Linked DNA regions of Drosophila melanogaster. The protein of the gene in region 3 interacts with the protein of the main gene of each other region in a pairwise test. Each region holds a gene or a part of one and is shown on either strand. Other genes may lie near its edges.

Region 1 (6,436 bases), on a different chromosome or scaffold from region 3:
CAGATGCCCAGCATAGGTATTTTTAGCTTGAACAGATCGGGATCATAGCTGGGCGCATCCTCAGCGTAGACTGAGTTGGGTCCGCCGGAGATGATGATGCCTCGATAGCCATTGTTGCGTATCGTGGCAGCTGGCGTATCCAGAGGAAGGATATCCGTCTCAACGAAGAGTTCGCGTACCTTACGGTCGATAACCTGCGGAGAAACCAGGACCATTTTAAGAAGAGGTTAAAACTACTCTTGGTTTTAAGCTTACCTTGCCGTACTGTGCTCCCGCATCAAGTATAACAATCTTATCATGCCGCAGGCCATTCTCTGCTGTGCCCAGAAAAATGTTTGAGTTCATTTCTTTATCGTTGCAGCACTGAAAAGAGCAAAGATTTGAGTGTCAGTCAAGCAATCGCAGAAACAAACACCGAATCTCGACTGGCTGGTAAACGCGCTTCTGCTGCTTATTTATACTCCAATTGTGGCTGCAATCGACGCTACAGAAACAAGGCTAAAAGCTGGCTAGGAGGTGGGGAAAATAGGTTTCGGATTGGGGCAATCGCGGAGATTGAGATTTGTGGTACAGAAGGCTCACATACCGGCAATATCTTGTGGAGCACTCGCAGAAACATTCAACATGCAGCTGGCCAGGACGCTCTACGATAGACAATAAACATTGGCAAATATTTTCTTGTCACAGAAAGATGATTTGTGCAATGTGGAAAGAAATTTACAAGCGACGAAAAACAAGGCCGAGAGACGCCTACCAAAAATGATTCGCTGTGCATCGCGACGATTACGTTCTGTGGGTATTATTTATTTGACCAAATATAAAACATTTACGTATATGAATAAGCCTATAACTTAATCTTAATAATACCTGTTTATTTAACCGTGGTTAGAATTTAAGACAGAGTGTATTCACAGCCAGCATAAAATCATAGATACCATAGGAAAAAGTGCTCCAAATGATCATAGTTTGGTTTTTTAAAATAATATTAAATAGATATAATTTTTGTATAATTTTGGTCAACAGACTGAATTTGGATTAACAACATGAAAAACGAATTTTTGTGCCAGGAGTATCTGTCAATGCTATATACTTCTACATACTAAAGTAGATTATCAAAGCATGGAAGTTAACATTTAATTTTATAGACACATTTGTCCCATCAAAGAATTTAGAAAAACAGCAGGTCAGGAACATGCTTTTCGAATTCCCGAAGTAATCGGCGACTTAGTACATATATTTTAAAATACAAATTTCGATGCATGAGGATGAGGATGTGAGGAGGAAACGGAACGTAATGGTGATGGGGTCAGGGGGGAGGGCGCCGGCTACTGACCGCCAGATGACAGGCGAAAATACTAAGAGGAGAGTGGCAGCGGAAGCGAGAGAGAGCGAAAGATGAGCGGAGAAAAATGGCAGGTAAACGAAAACAGAGCTGAAAAGTGCACAAGTAAAATAGAAAACAAAAATAAACAACAACAATCCAGGAGACAAATCGACGGTAGCAAGTCTTCTTGTTTGCCATTTATTTTCTCTTGAAGTGTGTAAAAACGCAGCAGCAGCAATATGAAAAGCCTCTCCGAAGGTTAGGAGTGCATTAGGTCACTGAAGCGATGCGATGTCTGTGATGTAAGCCGTGCTCCTCCTTTGGCTCTCTCTCATTTTTGATAACAACATGCAAGAGGTTATCAGAAACGGCACAAACCACAGCAACAACAACTAAAGAGGGCGGCCGCGTGGTTGTAATTTAATACACATGCAGAAGGCACGCACACTTACACACGTGGAGCCGCCAACAAGCGGCGCTTATAACCACAAAATGGCCACGGGATATATTTGCAAAACATTTAAAAAATTGCAAATGCGGAGAACAAAAAATCGCAACAAAAGCAAAGGCAAATGCGGTTGAAGCTAATTTGCGAATTCAACGGGCGGGGTGCGGAATTGTGGGCGGAGCAGCACCGCATGGCGATTTGGCTGGGATCGGGGATCTTTTTCGCCATATTGCGACTCTCACCTTCTCTCGTTTTAGCCTGGCTGCGGTTTTCCAGAACCGGGAAGTCCGTCGGCAAGGCCGTGGAATACCGTGACAAGCAGCGCAAGACTTTGTCTTAAGACGAAATTCGCGATCCGTTGTTTGCGGTCCCCCGTTTTCCTTCCTCACGCACACACTCAAAATTTCTTCGGCTGCTGCAGCTTCTTTTCCGCGTATCCAGGGCTGCTCGACACAGCTGGCGATGAAATCCCTGTGATTTTCACGGCTGCGTTATTATGGCCGCTTCCAGGGACTTTCCTTTTGGATTTCCTGCAGTTTTTTCGCGAATTAAAGCCGAAAGATGACTTATTGACGAGCGGATGACCATATTTCGGATTTGGGAAAAATCCAGCTGTGCTGCAAACGAAAAATACCAGCTGTGAACGTTTTTGGTATTAATATTTACCAAATAAATAAATTTATATTTATTTCGAAAACAATGAAAATTCCTTAATAACATTACATTACTTCTTTATTAGGAGTGCTTAAGTATTCTTTTAAATAATGAATTATAATTAAAATTATAATCTGTTTGTACAGTGTTGACAAACGAGCACTTTTTGTAGAACCATATACATTACCCGGTCACACTGAGCCCGCCAAAACAGATATGTTATTGCGCTTATTTAGAAAACCAAGAAAAAACACGAGAACACGTGAAAATACAAATCTACCCAAATGAAATGGGTCCTGCTCAGAAATCCGGAACAGATATTAGTATCGATGATGAGGAGGAAATACTGGCTCTGGAAAAACTACTGGGTGCAGCAGAAAACGAAAATACAAAATCTGCAGAGTCAGAAAAAGCAAAACCCACCGCACCCATTTTGGTGCCAAAACTACGAGAAGACAACAGTTTTGCTAATGCCTTCACCTTCGAGAAGATCGTGAAACCGGAAAAGCAGAAGAATGCTGCTATCATTAAGGAACCAGAGCTGGACTCGTCCGACGACGAGGAGGTAAAGAACTTCCTGGAACGAAAGTACAATGAGTACGGCAGTGATATAAACAAGAGACTGAAGCAGCAGCAGGAGAACGCCTACGAGTCCAAGGTGGCGAGGGAGGTGGATCAGGAGCTTAAGAAGTCTATCCACGTGGTTACATCCACCCCGCAACCCCTGAAAAATCCGCATAATCCTATTAAACGGCAATCGGCGGTGAGCACCACGTTTCAACGTCCTCCGCCAGTCGCTGCCGCCGTGGCATCTACATCCCAGTCAAGTGCTCCCGTATCTGCTGTTTTTACGGATCCAGTCTTCGGACTGCGCATGATCAATCCGCTAGTCTCCAGCTCACTGCTGCAGGAGCGCATGACGGGCAGGAAACCTGTGCCCTTCTCAGGCGTTGCGTATCACATCGAGCGAGGCGATTTGGCCAAAGATTGGGTCATTGCTGGCGCGCTGGTTTCCAAAAATCCTGTAAAAAACACCAAGAAGGGTGATCCCTACTCCACGTGGAAACTATCCGATCTACGGGGAGAGGTTAAAACGATCTCACTTTTCCTTTTTAAAGAGGCCCACAAATCCCTGTGGAAAACAGCGGAGGGTCTGTGCTTGGCTGTGTTGAATCCAACTATTTTCGAGAGGAGAGCGGGAAGCTCCGATGTGGCCTGCCTATCCATCGATAGCTCCCAGAAAGTCATGATCCTGGGTCAATCCAAAGATTTGGGCACATGTCGGGCCACCAAAAAAAATGGGGACAAGTGCACTTCGGTGGTTAACCTAACCGACTGTGATTATTGCATTTTTCATGTAAAGCAGGAATATGGCAAGATGTCCCGACGTTCTGAACTGCAATCGGCGACCGCAGGTCGTGGTATCAATGAACTAAGAAACAAGGTTTTGGGTAGGTAGACTTTGATTTTGAAGAAAACTCAATATAACTTAGTTTTTTCTTTATGTTAAGGCAAAAACGAGGTATTTTACGGCGGCCAAACATTTACTGCAGTTCCCGCAAGAAAAAGTGCCAAGTTAATCACCAAGGAACGTGATCGTCTGAGTATGCTGGCTGGCTATGATGTTTCCCCCTTCGCCCATACCGCTAACCACACCTCAAAGCCCAAAACAGCCGAACCCACTAAAATTCCATATGCAGAACGTGGCGGTCCTGTTTCCCGTTTGGCTGGTGGTGTGGAAGCGTCTAGGAAACAGAGAGTCCAAGATCTAGAGCGGTTGCGTCTGCTTAAAGAGGAAAATGAGCGCTTTGAAAAAAAGAAGCAGGCGGAGGGCCATGTCTTGGGAAGTGATAACAAAAAAGAATCTGAAGCAGGCACACCCGCTGTCAGTATGCCCACTACACCTGTTCCAGATAAATTCAAAAATCGAGGCTTCTCCTTTGATGCCAGTTTAACGCCCAAGCTTTCCGGTAGCGAGAACTTTTCCTTTGAAATCAATGTAGGATCTCGCCAGGCACAAAATGCTAAGCTGAAAGCAGCTGCCCTGCTGAAGAAGAAGCCACTGGAGAAGATCAACCCCAACTCCACACGAGGCAGTGAAAGTGGGAAGAGAAGAGCCATCGATGAACTCAACGAGAAGTTCTCTAGCAGCGCCAAGCGACAAAAAATTGATGAGGACGATCGGGAGTTAATGCGCAAATCAAGAATCGAAAAAATAATGGCAGCCACCTCATCGCATACGAATCTCGTGGAAATGCGAGAGCGCGAAGCGCAGGAAGAGTACTTTAACAAGCTTGAACGCAAGGAAGCGATGGAAGAGAAGATGCTGACCACATACAAGATGCCATGCAAGGCCGTCATCTGCCAGGTGTGCAAGTACACAGCCTTTTCCGCTTCCGATCGCTGCAAGGAGCAGAAGCACCCCTTAAAGGTGGTCGATGCTGAAAAGCGATTCTTTCAGTGCAAAGACTGCGGAAATCGAACTACTACCGTATTCAAGTTGCCCAAACAGAGCTGTAAGAATTGCAAGGGGTCGCGATGGCAAAGGACGGCTATGATACGGGAGAAAAAGATACTGACTGGTAGAGAAACTCTATCCGTGAGAGGAGACGAGGAAACCTTTATGGGCTGCCTAGCAGGCAGTGCTAATCTCAACTTGCTGGTACCCGATGAAGAGTGATGCCCCAATTGGCCGCTATCTGTTATATTTGGTTTATTTTATTTTATATTATTTCAAATAATTTTTAAAAGTTAATTTAAACATATGCAGTAGATGCAAGTATTTACATTCATTAAAGTCATAAAAGTCATCGATAAATAAGTACATTGGTTCGAATACCTAAATATCTAGAGTGCCTGTGAGATTGTTTAAGATGTACCAGATGTACTCAATGATTAATAATGAAGGTTACTTATGATTGTTTAGCTTATGGCGTAAATAAATTGAAACTTATATTATGACTGCTATTACATTAAATGGACATTATAAATCAACCTAGCTTACTTTAGCAGAGTTTTACAATCTTAAATTGAAATAAATATCCAAATACAGAAAACCCCTTTTGAAGCACAAATATTCCTTTAAAAACTTTATTTATTGAGTGTAAAAATTCTTTGGGATAACCATTCATTCTTCTGGCATATAATAGGACGAACTTGGCAATTTACAAATAAAGTTAATTATCTTTTAAGAATATGGCTTTTTGAAGCAAAAGTAATAAGAAGTAATAATAAAAAAAACTAAGGCTGTCTTTGGCTAGTTAAAATAGTGTATAAATGCTTGGGAGTATTTGAAATCGAAATCGGTTATCTTAAAATCCATATTTGGCGTCAACGTAAAGCTAATTGATTATATGTAAAACTAAGACTAATCAACAAACAGTTTGAACTGAAAAACAGGCGTGAGATTAGAACTCTGGGAAACACTATTTCTAGACTGCATCCTCAGCTTGCCATCCTGGACTCACCTCCTTCGTTTCACTGAGATTCAGCAAACTAGAGAAACGGAACGAGATGGTCTTGGACAGATGCTTTTCAAACTCCCTGCTGTCCAGGTTGTCTGGGATGAGACTCTTGTTGGTCATATCCAGGTAGGATCGACCCCTCTTCACGGGGACAGAATAATGTGGCAGTGAGGTGGTCGCTGGAGGTTCACTGGTCATGTTGCTGTAGCTTGGAGTACAACTGGATTTCCGAATATTTAAGGGGAATCGCAAATCGTTTTCGTATCGCAAAACCTGCCCGTTGGCGGTAGCATCAAGCAAAGGTCGTGGTAAGTCGTAACCCGGCGGAGCCGTTGAAGTCACTGGCATCTCCTCCTCAGACTGATCGTAGCTGGTGGCCTGGTCATGGATGTCGTAGGCTATTTTGGGAGGTGACCAAAGGTGCTGCAACGATTCTGGTTCGCCCAATTCCGTGGTTATTAAGGCGGAATCATCCCCACAATAAAGGGGATTCGAAACGGCATTCGTTTCCAGATCTATGTACTTGGCATTGTTTCCCAATAGCTT
Region 2 (6,965 bases), on a different chromosome or scaffold from region 3:
GCTCCTGGGCACCTGACGTCAACTGCCGCCCGCGTCCGTCGCGGCGCAGGCAGCTGCAGAGAATCGCCAAACACTCACCACAGCCACCTCTGCGGGATTAGCAGTAGCAGGAGCAACGGAAGCTAGCCCCACATCCTCACCGAGAGCTACGCCCACACCGCCGCCCGTGCCGCCGAGATCTCCGCTGTCGCTGGGATGACTAGCAAAGCAAAAGGCGGCGGCCAACCGGAGCGGGATCACCTAGTTCCTGGTACTAGCCGTCGTCTGCCTTTGATTAGCCTTAAGTCTTCAAGCCCTGCCACCGCTGCAAACACTAGAGCTAGGCCTTCCATGGGTGCAGCCAATAGCAATCACCAAGCTTCGAGAGAATGAGACCACACACACACACACTTTGTACATACACCGCGGGAAGCTTGGGGCACGACTTGGTAGTGACTTAGATGCGCCAAATTAAATTTACAACAGTTACGAGTTAAACAATTGATAAAAGCAATCGAGAATTACATAAAATACATAAAAACTGCTAATGGAACAATATTTAAGCAAGAGCAAATCGTATCTAATACAACTACAAAGCGGTTAGAAGTCTATTTAATTGCAAATTGAATTCAACTCAAGCATATATATTATAGAAATTGTTGTAAATTGTACTTGTATATACGTACCAAACAAAATACAAAGCAACGTTAAAAAGTTACGTCCATGAAATGCAAACGAATGTAAAGGCGAAAGGCAACCAAATATTAATTGAAAACTATAGATAACAGAATCGTACGATTACGCTAGATTTATGTATAGTTATACCCTCATAGCAGTACACGAACCGAGCAAACTGACAAATGAATTGAGTATTTACCATTAATTTCATGATTAAACTTTACACAAACATGAATCACTAGTTTAAGTTTCTCAGCAAAAGGAATTATGTATATTTTAATTTAAATTATGTTCAACAACGTCTCCAAATAAAACTGTCAACTGAAGCTAAGCTAATCTCCCGCTTTGGTGTCCAGCTTGCCGCCCTTTTCGATAATCGACCCTAGATCCTTGAGCGACACCTCACCGGTTCCTCTTTCCAGAGGCTGTGGCTGATTGGGACCGGGTTTCCAGCCCACAAAGTAGATGATTTGGAAGGTTGCAGGTATCCCCTTCTCGTTGGGCTTTGCATACAGCTCCTGGTAGATGGCACTGGCCGCGAGCATCGTTTCTCGACTAAGATGAGCGGGTCGATTGAATGCAGCATTGTTCTCTGCCATACCCTTGAGATCCCACATCAGTTCGAACATGCTGGGATAGCCGATGACCAGTTCATCGGTGTCTATTGTCAGCATGGTGAAGCCGGCGCGATTAAGCAGGGAACCAATATCCCTAATCTGAGTGAAGGGCGAGATGTGCGGAGATATGCCACCTTTGCGCTCCAGCTCGGCCAATTGGAGCGAGGAGCGCAGCTCGTAGAGGGTGTCTCCACCAAACATGGAGGCTATAAAGACCCCATCCGGTTTCAGACTCTGCTTAATTCTGACAAAGCAGCCCGGCAGATCATTCACCCAGTGCAGACTTAGGCTAGAGATGACCAGATCCAGTGAATTGTCCTCAAACTGAAAGGGATTCTCATTTAGACTTGCAACTTTGGTCTAAGTAGATTAATTACCCACATCCAGCTGCTCTTCGTCCTTAACTAGTTTCACCATTTTCAGACCCGGAGTGCCCTGTGCCTGCTCCAGCATCGTAGCACTGGTGTCCGTGAGCGTCAGCTGCTCCACACTCTCCGCCAGAATGTGTCTGGACAGATAGCCGCGACTGCATCCGATATCCGCCGCCGCCTTGAACTCCCGCTTAATGTCGAATACTCTGTCAGCCAGGCGGAAGCCGATCTCCTCCTTCAAGTAATCGTATAGTCCAACGTCTTCGCTGTATACGTATATTGTTTACTAATTGAATATATACTCTAATCCTGGCGAGAAGATCTCACCTGAGTGCGGCCCTTTCCTTCTGTAATCTCTTGGCATTGCGGTCAAATATATGTTGCGATGTTTGGGTGAGTGAGGATAGGGCGCGGAGTTCACATTTGACCTTTAAGGTCGATAGTTTTGTTAATTTTCTTAACATATTCCGACTTTTGATCAGAGCAGTGCTGTAATAAGCAACCGGCTGCGGGAAAATGAAAATATTACATTTTTAAAATGGAAAGTCGAAGTATGTATACCCTACATGTCTTATATCTTGTGGATTCTTAAATTTTTCTATTTATGAAAGTAATACCAATGTTGTTTAAACAATTGAAACGTCATGTGTGACTATTTACAAATTATGTATACAATGTTTCACGTATTATTGAATTTAAATTATTAACGGGAACGTGGTGATATATTTTTTTTAATATTTAAAAAGAAAGAGTATTGAACGAACAGCTGTTGGCCAGTGCTGGAAAAGAGCGACATCAAGACATTCCCATTCGGCCGTTGGCTTACACTGTTAGGTAGTGCCTATTTGTTTTGGCGCCAAAAGTGACGGGAGGTCATCGCGAGAGATCAATTGAAATTAAGCATTAAATCACATCATGAGCTTCTTGCGCAGTGCCCTGCGCTATGCCCACACCAATGGCTACACGGGACTCCTTTACACTCCGCGCGGCGAGTTCATCATCACGTGCGGCACAGATGGAGACATCCGGCACTGGACCTGCATTAGTGACGACGATCCACGCTCAAGTTGCCTGGGCGAGTTCGTCATGTGCATAGCCCACACGGGAACCCGTTTGCTGGCCTCGACGGATCGGAATACGATCCATGCCTACACCTTTCCCGAGATGGACAGCGATGGCATCCTCATGCGATTCACGGCACCGGCTACGTGCCTCAAGGTATCCGGTGGCTATACTGCTGCCGGCAGCGAGGATACCACTATAAAGGTGCTTAAGGGAGATACAGCTGGCAACGAAACGGTGCTGGAGGGGCACACTGGTCCCATTCTGGCACTGGACTTGTTTGCGGAGCGAAAGCTGCTGGTTTCCGTGGCCGGGGATGGCCAACTGAAGGTGTGGAACTTCGAGGAGGGCAAGGAGCTGAAGACCATTGGGGGCTTGCCAAAGGTCAACAGTTTCGAGAGCGCCAGCCTGTATGGCACTCCGCATTTCGAGCCACAAAGCGGTGAACTTCTGGCCTATGCCGTTGACAACGAGATTGTGGTCCTCAACACGGCCAACTGGGAAGTGGCCTTTAAGCTGCGCGACGACTCGGTGTCCAGTAACTACAGCTGCTGCCAGTTCTCGCCCAATGGTGAGCGCCTGGCCGCCGGAACAACCAAGGGCGAGGTGAGCATCTTCGATGTAAAGAAACGGAAGGCAGTAACAGTGGAGATTCCGCCAAGCGACTGCAATGCCATAACATGCCTTGCCTGGAATCTGTCCGGAGAGGTGGAGGTGGCCTTCTGCGATGCCACTGGCCAGCTGGGAACCGTATTTCTTGGCGATGCAGTCGACACAGGCAACGGCGATGGATTGGTGGACGACCAAGCCGAGCTGTTGGGCGATGACTATGAGTTTGAGGCCGGCGATGACGTGGACACTGCAGCAGACGACGGCGATGGCGTTAGTCTGGAACAGCTTAAGCGCAAGGTGATGAACTTTGCGGATCCCGTAGATCACGATGACGCCTCCAACCAATCCCTGGACAGCAGTAGCCGAACTGTACCTGCACCCGTTGCCCCGCAAATCAAGCTCTTCAAGCAGCAGACGGCCTTTCAGCCCAGTGCCACACCGGCCGATCTAGAGCATCGCTACATGGCATGGAATGATGTGGGCATTGTTACCGCCCATGTGGAGCCCTCAGGCGATAGCTCCATCGATGTGGAGTTCCACGACGCTAGTATTCACCACGCTCTACACATTAGTAACTACAATCAGCACAATTTGGCCAGTGTGAGCAGTGGAGCTTTGGCATTGGCCTCCAACGAATCCAGCAAGTTAGTAGTCATTGCTCTGGCCGCCGCCGGAAACAAAGAGTGGTCACTCAGCCTCCCGGATTGCGAGAGTGCAGAGGCTGTTGTGGCCACGCGATTTCTAGTGGCTGTGGCCACCAGCTCCAGTTTTCTGCGTATCTTCACCGTGATGGGTACACAGCGTGAGGTGCTAACCATACCAGGACCAATGGTGGCTATTGCTGGACACGAGCACAGCCTAATGGTTGTTTACCACAGTTCCGCGCCCAGTCAGACGCAGCAGCATCTCGCCGCGATGTTGGTGAACATAAATGGATTGAGTTTGCGACAAGAATATCTGCCCGTTCCGCTGACTCCAGGCCGGCAGCTCACCTGGTTTGGGTACAGCGACACCGGATCGCCGAGTATTGCCGACAACATGGGTCTGCTGCAGTTGTATCGCCGGAGCAGCAACGCCTGGTTCCCCATCTGCGACACCATGAAGCAAAGCACCAGTGTGTCGCACAACTTCTTTGTGGTCGCTGTATCCGAGAAACGTCAGATAGTCCAGGCGGTCCTGTGCCGCGGTACCTCCTATCCCATGACCAATCCGCGTCCCATGCTCCAGGAACTGCGTATGCAGATCCCGCTCTGCGACGTCGAAGTGGAAAAGTCCGAGCTGGAGGATGCACTGCTGCGGTCCAGTCTGATGCAAATGGATGGGGCAGAGAAGATGCAAAAGGAGACGGCCATCAAGCTGTTTGCATTGGCCTGCAGCAGCGAGTGCGAGACGCGAGCTAGGGAATTGATCGAATCGATTGCCTGCACTGATCTGCTTCAACTGGCCGTGAAATACGCCACGAAACGTGGACGCATCCACCTGTCCGACCGTCTGTGCGAACTGCTACCTCAATTGGAGGCGGTCCAGGAGGCACGCAAGCAGCAGACTTTGTTGGGTGCCAGCGGCATTGCGGCCACCATTGTTCTGCCAATGACTCCCACATCGGCCTCACAAAGCGGCCCAAAACCCAAGGCCATCGAGCTGAGCTCGGCCAAACGGGGCACCCTGAAGAGATTGGTCAATTCACCCAATATGTTTAAAGCAGCAGCAGCATCGGCAGCATCCCGGCCCTCGACTCCGGATATCACACCCTCTCCGCTGGACACCCAGGAAAACATATTCGGCGAATCGGAATCCGAGGTTCCCATGGGTAAAGCCACCGATCACCGGTCCCCTTTGAATTCGGTTAATCCCTTTGCTATGAAGCGCAAACTGGGCGACACTGGAGTCATCTTTGGATCCGAAAAGCTGAAGCTGGCAAAGAAATAGTCTGTTTGTAGATTGATAAGTAGGTTTAAGATAAATATATTATATAAATAATGTGTAACGTTTATCCCATTCTGTGAGCTACATGTAAAATAACAAATTTTTATTTGAGCTTTTTATGGAACAGAATTGTTAAGGATTAATTTGCTTATTTAAATTTAAAGAATAAAATATACTTTTATTTATATTAAAATGTATATTCTTTAAAAAGCGGAGGGTACAAGTTTATTTAAAATATGATCAATATATTTTTAAATATTTTAAAATTCTACAAATTAAACATTCTGGTCTCCAAAGAATACCGTTGGTATTTTTATCTTTGGAATTAAACCAACCAAATAGTGTGACCAAACTTTGTAAATGACATTAATCGATCGAAACGATCATTTTAGGCTGGATTTTCCACGACTTTCAAGTCAAAGTTATGTGTTCGTTTAATTCTATTTTGTAAATAAGTGTTACACGCTCAAATTCCAACATAAAATTACACACTCATACACATAGGAAAAAACACAATATAAAGGTTAGAAATAATAAGCAAAAAAGGTGCTAGATATATCAAAAAAATAAATATATATATTTTTTAAATAACAAACTAAATTGACAGTTACATACACGTATGTAAGTATTGCGGCAGCGAGTGCTTCCTTTTGCGTTGTTTACGAAATTCTCGCCACTGGAAGAAAGCTAAAGAACTCCGTAATGAATTTCCAGTTCCAGCGAACTGATCACCGCTATTCAGAAGGCTCTCTGCTGCAGACGCAAACACACACACAAGCAGGCAAACACACAGGGACATCGTTAAAATCTAAAGATGGAGAGACTCTATTTCCAATTTAATGTTGAATTAGTTTTCGTTGAAGCCATTTTTTAACCCAACAACTTTTTTAAGAAATCCCCGTCTGGGTAACCCGTGCATATAAAACCCAACGCTCGCGCATCACTCTCTTCATTTGTTACCTGAACGTTACGCCGTGCATTTCGATCGTCAGCTGAATAGTACATACTATATCATATATAATATTTCAACGTGTGTGTGTGTCTGCGTCTTTGCGTTTTGTTCGCGTCAAATAAGTAACTTAATTGCGATTATTCGCAACAACAATTATCGATCCTACCCTTTTTGTTTGAGTGAGTGTATTACAATAACAAAAACATAGAAAAAAACAACAGGAAAAAATCAGTACAAAATAAAGAACATCAAGCCAAAATGACAAAAAATAAAAAGAACATAATCAACAATAACAATGGCAACGCAACCCCGCCGGACTTCCCAACACCGCCACCGACGCCACCGATCAATGCCGGTATCAAACCGCCCGGCACCTACGCCAATGGAATGCCTCGCAAGCCGACGGTTCCGTGGGGTAAGCTATATACTATGTATATACTATATATGATCCATAACATCGGATCACTTTTCACGGGCACAGAGCGCGAGTTGATGGGCTCGTTTTTGCTGGAGATGGCCAGACTCCAGGTGATAAGCGCCCAAACGGAGTGGTACGTGGACAAGGCCAAAATGCGAAAACTATTCGAGGTGCACTTGAACGCCCTGCCCAACAGTAGCGAGATTCGTCAGAAGCTCAGCAGTCAGGGAGCTACGAATGTAAGTTGAATCACATTGATAATGCCTTATTGCTATCCTATTTCCTGTACAGTGAGCACTGCCAAATGAGCTTCGGTCGGGGTTGCCTTAGAAAACTAATAAATTGCATTT
Region 3 (6,806 bases):
TCCAATGCTTTTAATTTTATTTTAATTAAGGGAAGCGTAGCTGAATAACAACCCATTCACAATATTTGGAAATAACGTATGTAATGTAATGAATAAATGTATAGCCTATTCCTAATTTATGGGAAACGTGTTTTGGCGCACTGCGCATGGAACTCAGTTTGATGAGCCAATGCCGGTTAGCTCCTGCAGCTCCTTGAGCAAGTGCTTATTGTACTCCTTGTGATTGATAGGGGCTACAGACTGCACAGTGAGCTTGTTGCGAGTCATGTCCCCGTAAACCTCGTTCTTGCAGCGCAGCTTAAAGATGTGTGAAGTGAAGTTGAGTGCTGAGAAAATCTGCTCGGCTTTGGCAGGGTCGTTCTCAAGGGCCTCACCCACTTCCTGCGAAGTGTGCCCGAGAAGCTGTTCACCGACCTCGTTAAAACTGCTGACCCAACGGTTGGAAGTCCAGTCCCCGATGCTCATCTAAAAAAAAGGTATTGATATCAGTTAATGAAATTGTATTTAAAGTTAGAAAGCTAAATGTTTCACAGCAAATACATACGTTGATCAGCAGTCGGTACTTAAAGTTGGGAAACAGTGCGTTACATTTCTCGCAGCGGAACTGGTCGTTGCCCTCATCGACAACCTTCTTGTTGCAGTCGCTCTGAGGGCAGGCTCGGTAGAAAGCATTTTCCTGTTTGACAATGTGCACCACTGCCTTGCACTGGAAGTAATCAGGCTTGTCGCCGCTGCCGAGATTGCGAGCCCGCGCATCCTTAAGCGTCATCCATTCAGTAGAGAAGCTTCCTCCGCCCGTTCGCGCCGAAACCATATTGGCGACACTGTCACCACCTCCATTGTCGAACCAGCCGCGCAGCTTATGTGCCTCGGGTATATCGGGGTTAATCTTCATGATTGAGCCACCGCCGAGGCTCAAGGACTTTCCGCCATTGAACTCGTTAATGCGTGTTCCCTTGACCAGGATCACAGGCTGCACATGACCGTCAAAGTTAACGGCATCATCCCCCCAAAGGGTCAAGCTGATGGCCGAGTTACTCATGTCCACTAGGGTTATGTCCCGTTTCTTGAATTCCTTGTTTGTGGTGCGAGCTACGAATGATTGCAACTCGCCCACCTCCTTGCAAATTCCTATTGTGTCTACCGCTGCTTTATTTTCCATACCCGACACATCGGAAATAGGAACAAGGTTGTACTTAATTTCCGGTATGGGATCATCGTCGGTATCCTCACAAAGCTGGACAACTGTTTCACCGGAAAAAGTCATCTCGTAGGCGTTGTTCAGCGAAGAGTACTGCTTGTTTGCCGGTTTCAATTGACACTTTGATATATAGTACACGCTATCCACTTGAATGAGGTCGTAGAACTTATCGCACTGTTCCTTGAAGGCAGTGGCCCGAATTTCGCCCGATTCGTCCATTAAATCCATGCTGAACAACTTGCCCTCGCCGCGGGCATTGCTCCAGGTGCGAATGCCGGATTTTGAGGTCACGCGAGCCTTAATCACCCACTTATTTTGGTAGGGACTTAGGCTAGAAATGGGATGTGTCATTCCACTATTAATAGAGGAATTCATTACTATGTTATTATTGTTGTTGTGGCTCGGTTCCTTTTTGGCAATTGGCTTGGAATTAGATGTTACTGCTGGCTTAGGCGCCAGATCCTGCTTGGCTGCATTTTCATACGTAACGGGTTCGCCAATTTTGGACTTAACCTCGGCGCCAGGATTCACCACAGTTAGTTCGGAAATGATGAGAACGCGTCTAAAAGGAAAACATATGTTACTATACTGTCGAAAGTCTGTTTTACAGCGTACTTACTTTCCGGCTCCGTCCTTGCCTACCAGTGAGGTCACATATTTATCTAGCTGGACAATGGTGAACTCCTCTAATTCTCCATTGTGCTGCATCACGTTCAGCTGACTGGCCAGCATCGCATAGCTGTTAAAGTACTTGCCGTCGGAGATTAGGATGCGATAGCGCTCTGAGTCCGCTGCGCTGTTAATCTTCTTGATTGCCAGGATCTGGAGAACCGGGGCATCCACAACCTCGCCATGCATAATGCGCTGTGGCCGGTAGTACGATGTGTTACTATACCAATCCATTATTTTAAGCTGGCATACTTACAGCAATCACACCAGTGGACAAAGATGCCAGGACCATTTTGATTATAAAAATAAGTTGGGCAATTTCACAAGCAAATATAATTCATGCGTCGAGGGCTGGGTACAAAGTGAAGCTAGAAGAGGCGGGAAGGGCTTCTGTGTAATTTTGAATCAGTTGTTGCGGAACTAGTTCAATTTGCTTTCCAGTTAGAGCTGTATTTCAGGGCAGTAAAGTTTTGGTTGCTTAAGAGAAAACATTTATTTTACTTTATTATTACTATTTCCTACAGCAACATATTGAGAATAATTGTCTATTATTTTGACACATAGCTTTAAGCTTGACTTACATTGTTTGTGTTAATGCTCACAACTAGTTATTGTAAGCATTTCTATTTCAATGGAATTATAAATATTTAATAACTGTGTGATATTTTATTGACACATTCTTTGTATTAAAGCCTACATTCAGTGCCTTGTAAACTTTTTAAATTGAATGGTGTAATATATATATTTAAAATTTTTTGTAAGCTCTTTAAACTCGGTGATATTTTATTGACACAAGGAAAGTTGTTACAGTCGGGTGTTCTTATAAACATGTATGCAGAAGCGGGTGTCCACTGTATGACCCAGACGTTAACAGCACTGCTTATCGGAACTAGACCGCAGCCCTGAGTTGGCTCGATTAGCAAACATTTTCCCGCGCATTTTCGCACGCGTCGTCACAACAAGATCGGCGGTACAAAACAAAACATATTACAGATAAACGCTAAGCACAACAGACGCACGTAATGGACAATCCCAGTTCACCACCGCCAAATACGCCCAGCGATGCCGCCGAACGCCGCGATCTGCGGGCAGCAATGACGTCGCCGGTTGGCGACTTTGAGCCGTTCGAGAACGAGGACGAGATCCTGGGAGATCAGACCGTTCGCGATGAGGCCGAGGAGGAGGATGGCGAGGAGCTGTTCGGGGACAACATGGAGAACGATTACCGGCCCATGCCTGAGCTGGATCACTACGATCCGGCGCTGCTGGACGACGAGGATGACTTCTCGGAGATGTCCCAGGGCGATCGCTTTGCCGCCGAGTCGGAGATGCGTCGACGCGACCGGGCCGCCGGAATCCACCGCGACGATCGTGATCTGGGTTTCGGTCAGTCCGATGATGAGGACGACGTTGGACCCCGGGCCAAGAGACGAGCTGGCGAGAAGGCAGCTGTTGGCGAGGTAGAGGACACCGAGATGGTGGAGTCTATTGAAAACCTGGAGGATACCAAGGGACACTCAACTAAAGAGTGGGTCAGTATGCTAGGACCACGCACGGAAATCGCCAATCGCTTTCAATCCTTTTTGAGAACTTTTGTGGATGAAAGGGGCGCATACACCTATCGTGATCGCATACGTCGGATGTGCGAGCAGAACATGTCTTCGTTCGTCGTCTCCTACACTGATCTGGCCAACAAGGAACACGTATTGGCCTATTTCCTGCCCGAGGCTCCCTTTCAAATGCTCGAGATTTTCGATAAAGTGGCTAAGGACATGGTGCTCTCCATTTTCCCCACTTACGAACGTGTCACCACAGAGATTCACGTGCGCATCTCGGAGCTGCCGCTGATCGAGGAGCTGCGCACATTCAGAAAACTGCATCTGAACCAGTTGGTTCGCACTTTGGGCGTGGTAACTGCCACCACCGGAGTTCTTCCCCAGCTATCCGTGATCAAGTACGACTGCGTTAAGTGCGGCTATGTGCTGGGTCCCTTCGTTCAGTCGCAAAATACGGAGATAAAGCCCGGTTCCTGCCCAGAGTGCCAGAGCACTGGACCCTTCTCAATCAACATGGAGCAGACGTTGTATCGAAATTATCAAAAGATCACGTTGCAGGAGTCGCCAGGCAGGATTCCAGCCGGACGCATTCCTCGCAGCAAGGATGTCATTTTGCTCGCTGATTTGTGTGATCAATGCAAGCCTGGAGATGAACTTGAGGTCACAGGTATATATACCAATAACTACGATGGCTCCTTGAACACCGACCAAGGATTTCCCGTGTTTGCCACCGTGATTATTGCCAATCATGTGGTTGTAAAGGACTCCAAGCAGGTAGTGCAGTCGCTTACGGACGAGGACATTGCCACCATTCAGAAGTTGAGCAAGGATCCGCGTATCGTAGAGCGTGTAGTAGCATCCATGGCGCCTTCTATATACGGACATGATTATATCAAGAGGGCGCTGGCCTTAGCTCTCTTTGGGGGTGAGTCAAAGAATCCCGGTGAGAAACACAAGGTTAGAGGTGATATAAACCTACTCATCTGTGGAGATCCCGGAACGGCAAAGTCGCAGTTCCTCAAGTACACCGAAAAGGTTGCGCCACGTGCGGTTTTCACGACTGGGCAGGGAGCCAGTGCCGTGGGTCTCACGGCTTATGTGCGCCGCAATCCAGTATCTCGGGAGTGGACATTGGAAGCGGGTGCTCTGGTTCTGGCTGATCAGGGAGTTTGTCTAATCGACGAGTTCGACAAAATGAACGACCAGGATCGTACCTCTATTCACGAAGCCATGGAGCAGCAGTCTATTTCGATTTCCAAGGCTGGTATTGTCACCTCTCTTCAAGCTCGTTGCACCGTGATTGCTGCTGCCAATCCCATTGGCGGTCGCTATGATCCGTCGATGACCTTCTCGGAGAACGTGAATCTCTCGGAGCCCATCCTGTCCCGTTTCGATGTGCTGTGCGTGGTGAAGGACGAATTTGACCCCATGCAGGATCAGCAGCTCGCCAAATTCGTGGTACACTCGCATATGAAGCATCACCCGAGTGAGGAGGAGCAGCCGGAGTTGGAGGAACCACAGCTGAAGACCGTTGATGAGATCCCGCAGGACTTGTTGCGACAATACATTGTATACGCTAAGGAGAACATTCGGCCCAAGCTAACGGTAAGCGAACTTATTGAAATCACAGGAAAAGTGTAACAACATTTCCGTTTCATACAGAACATCGACGAGGACAAGATCGCCAAGATGTACGCCCAGCTGCGACAGGAGTCTTTTGCCACGGGCTCACTGCCCATTACGGTGCGTCACATTGAGAGTGTCATCCGAATGTCCGAAGCGCACGCGCGGATGCATCTGCGCGAAAACGTAATGGAGGCAGATGTCAGCATGGCCATCCGCATGATGTTGGAGAGCTTTATCGAGGCGCAGAAGTTCAGCGTTATGAAGAAGATGCGCAGCACATTCCAGAAGTACCTGTCCTTCCAAAAGGACCATTCCGAGCTGCTGTTCTTTATTCTGCGACAGCTGACGCTCGACCAGCTCGCCTACATTCGCTGCAAGGACGGGCCTGGCGCCACACATGTGGAGATTATGGAGCGGGATTTGATCGAACGGGCTAAGCAGCTGGATATTGTAAACCTGAAGCCGTTCTACGAATCAGATCTGTTTCGCACAAATGGCTTCTCTTACGATCCCAAGCGACGCATCATCCTTCAAATTGTGGTCGACGGCAACACAGCTTAAGTTTCAGCCATTTACTTCATCTCATTTAGTTATAGTATTCATGTTTTGTTACCCCCATTTTCGGTCTAATAAAGTTTGATATACTTATGTATGTATTTATACTAAAATAGGTATTTGAATTGAAATTTATACTTCCGTAAATATTTTTTATTGTGCATACAAATCAGCCCCAGAGTATGTCAATCGTTGTTCCCTTCGATGCCCATGGCTTTGTCGAAATCTTCCTCGCTAATCTTGTTCTTTTTCAGCCGCTTGAAGAGCCGAATATCGCTGGCCAGTTCATCGAGGTCCTCCTGGCTGAACTGCTGCCTCTTTTTTCCCTTCCCGGACCTGCTCGCCTCCGCCTCTGCCGCTTTCTTTCGCTGCTTCTTCGCCTTGCGCAGCTCCTTCTTAGACTTGGCATCCAGTTTTGCCTTCTTTGTCTGATCCCAGGACTCAACACGCTTTTTGTGCTGCTTTTGGCCCGGCCAGCTTCCCGTTTGCTCGTAAGTTTCCATTTTCTTTTGCCGGACTTGTTCTTTCTGGGCGTTTTTGTAGGTAAGTTTGGATAAATCCACTTCAAAAGCAGGCGCCACATAGCCGCCGCCCTGGTAGTTCTTTAGCTCCGGCATGCGTGGCAGTTGCAGGAGACCGTAAGCAGTGGCCATCTTGCCCAGGTCCAGATCCTTTAGTCGCAGAATAGCGCTGCATTCGTGTTTGGTGTATGCTCTAACATGGGAAACAAAAGCGCGCATGCCTTTGTCATAGACGCCCTTGTCGGCCGCCTGCAGCCGATGGAGTTGATCTAAGACGGCTGGTAGCTTCTTTTTTTCACGATCTGCATCCTCAGCCTCCTCGGTTAGCAGTTTAGTTAGCTCCACTTTCTGGTTGATCTTCAGGAAGTGCACATAGGCATCCTCGCTGGGCAGGAGAAACACCAGAGCGTTGCCCTCGTTTCCCTGCCGAGCCGTGCGACCTACACGGTGTACAAAGCTGGAGGCAGTTGATGGTGGATCCCACTGCACTACCCACTCGATCTCAGGTACATCCAAACCACGTGCGAGGACATCTGTGCAGAGGAGTACGGCCTGTGGAGTGTTCCGAAACTTCTCCACCACATTGGCCCTCTTGTTTTTCATCTTTCCGTGGATTCCTAGCACTGTGCGTTTGGGCAAAAGAGGCGGCAGGGCCTCAGCCCAATACTCCACACAGGC

Evidence for each region.
Region 1: the proteins of Mcm2 (region 3) and Mcm10 interact in a two-hybrid assay, tested with the Drosophila melanogaster proteins (one study listed by BioGRID).
Region 2: the proteins of Mcm2 (region 3) and Ctf4 interact in a two-hybrid assay, tested with the Drosophila melanogaster proteins (one study listed by BioGRID).

The regions. Positions count from the first base shown.
Region 1 is NT_033779.5:21,177,316-21,183,751, forward strand, and holds Mcm10 (minichromosome maintenance 10), read left to right. Parts: upstream 1-2,617; 5' UTR 2,618-2,715; coding exon 2,716-3,877; intron 3,878-3,937; coding exon 3,938-5,106; 3' UTR 5,107-5,497; downstream 5,498-6,436. Other genes in the region: bur (burgundy), read right to left, coding at 1-194, 256-345; Ret oncogene, read right to left, coding at 5,858-6,436. UniProt on the Drosophila melanogaster protein: Proposed to be involved in DNA replication and to participate in the activation of the pre-replication complex (pre-RC). May be involved in chromosome condensation.
Region 2 is NT_033778.4:13,978,831-13,985,795, reverse strand, and holds Ctf4 (chromosome transmission fidelity 4), read left to right. Parts: upstream 1-2,478; 5' UTR 2,479-2,560; coding exon 2,561-5,248; 3' UTR 5,249-5,434; downstream 5,435-6,965. Other genes in the region: CG8067 (uncharacterized protein), read right to left, coding at 990-1,598, 1,656-1,911, 1,973-2,109; CG6701 (uncharacterized protein), read left to right, coding at 6,456-6,612, 6,679-6,854.
Region 3 is NT_033777.3:8,262,209-8,269,014, forward strand, and holds Mcm2 (minichromosome maintenance 2), read left to right. Parts: upstream 1-2,761; 5' UTR 2,762-2,892; coding exon 2,893-5,031; intron 5,032-5,088; coding exon 5,089-5,613; 3' UTR 5,614-5,716; downstream 5,717-6,806. Other genes in the region: RPA1 (replication protein A1), read right to left, coding at 154-465, 545-1,763, 1,821-2,065, 2,127-2,162; CG9630 (uncharacterized protein), read right to left, coding at 5,793-6,806. UniProt on the Drosophila melanogaster protein: Acts as a component of the MCM2-7 complex (MCM complex) which is the replicative helicase essential for 'once per cell cycle' DNA replication initiation and elongation in eukaryotic cells.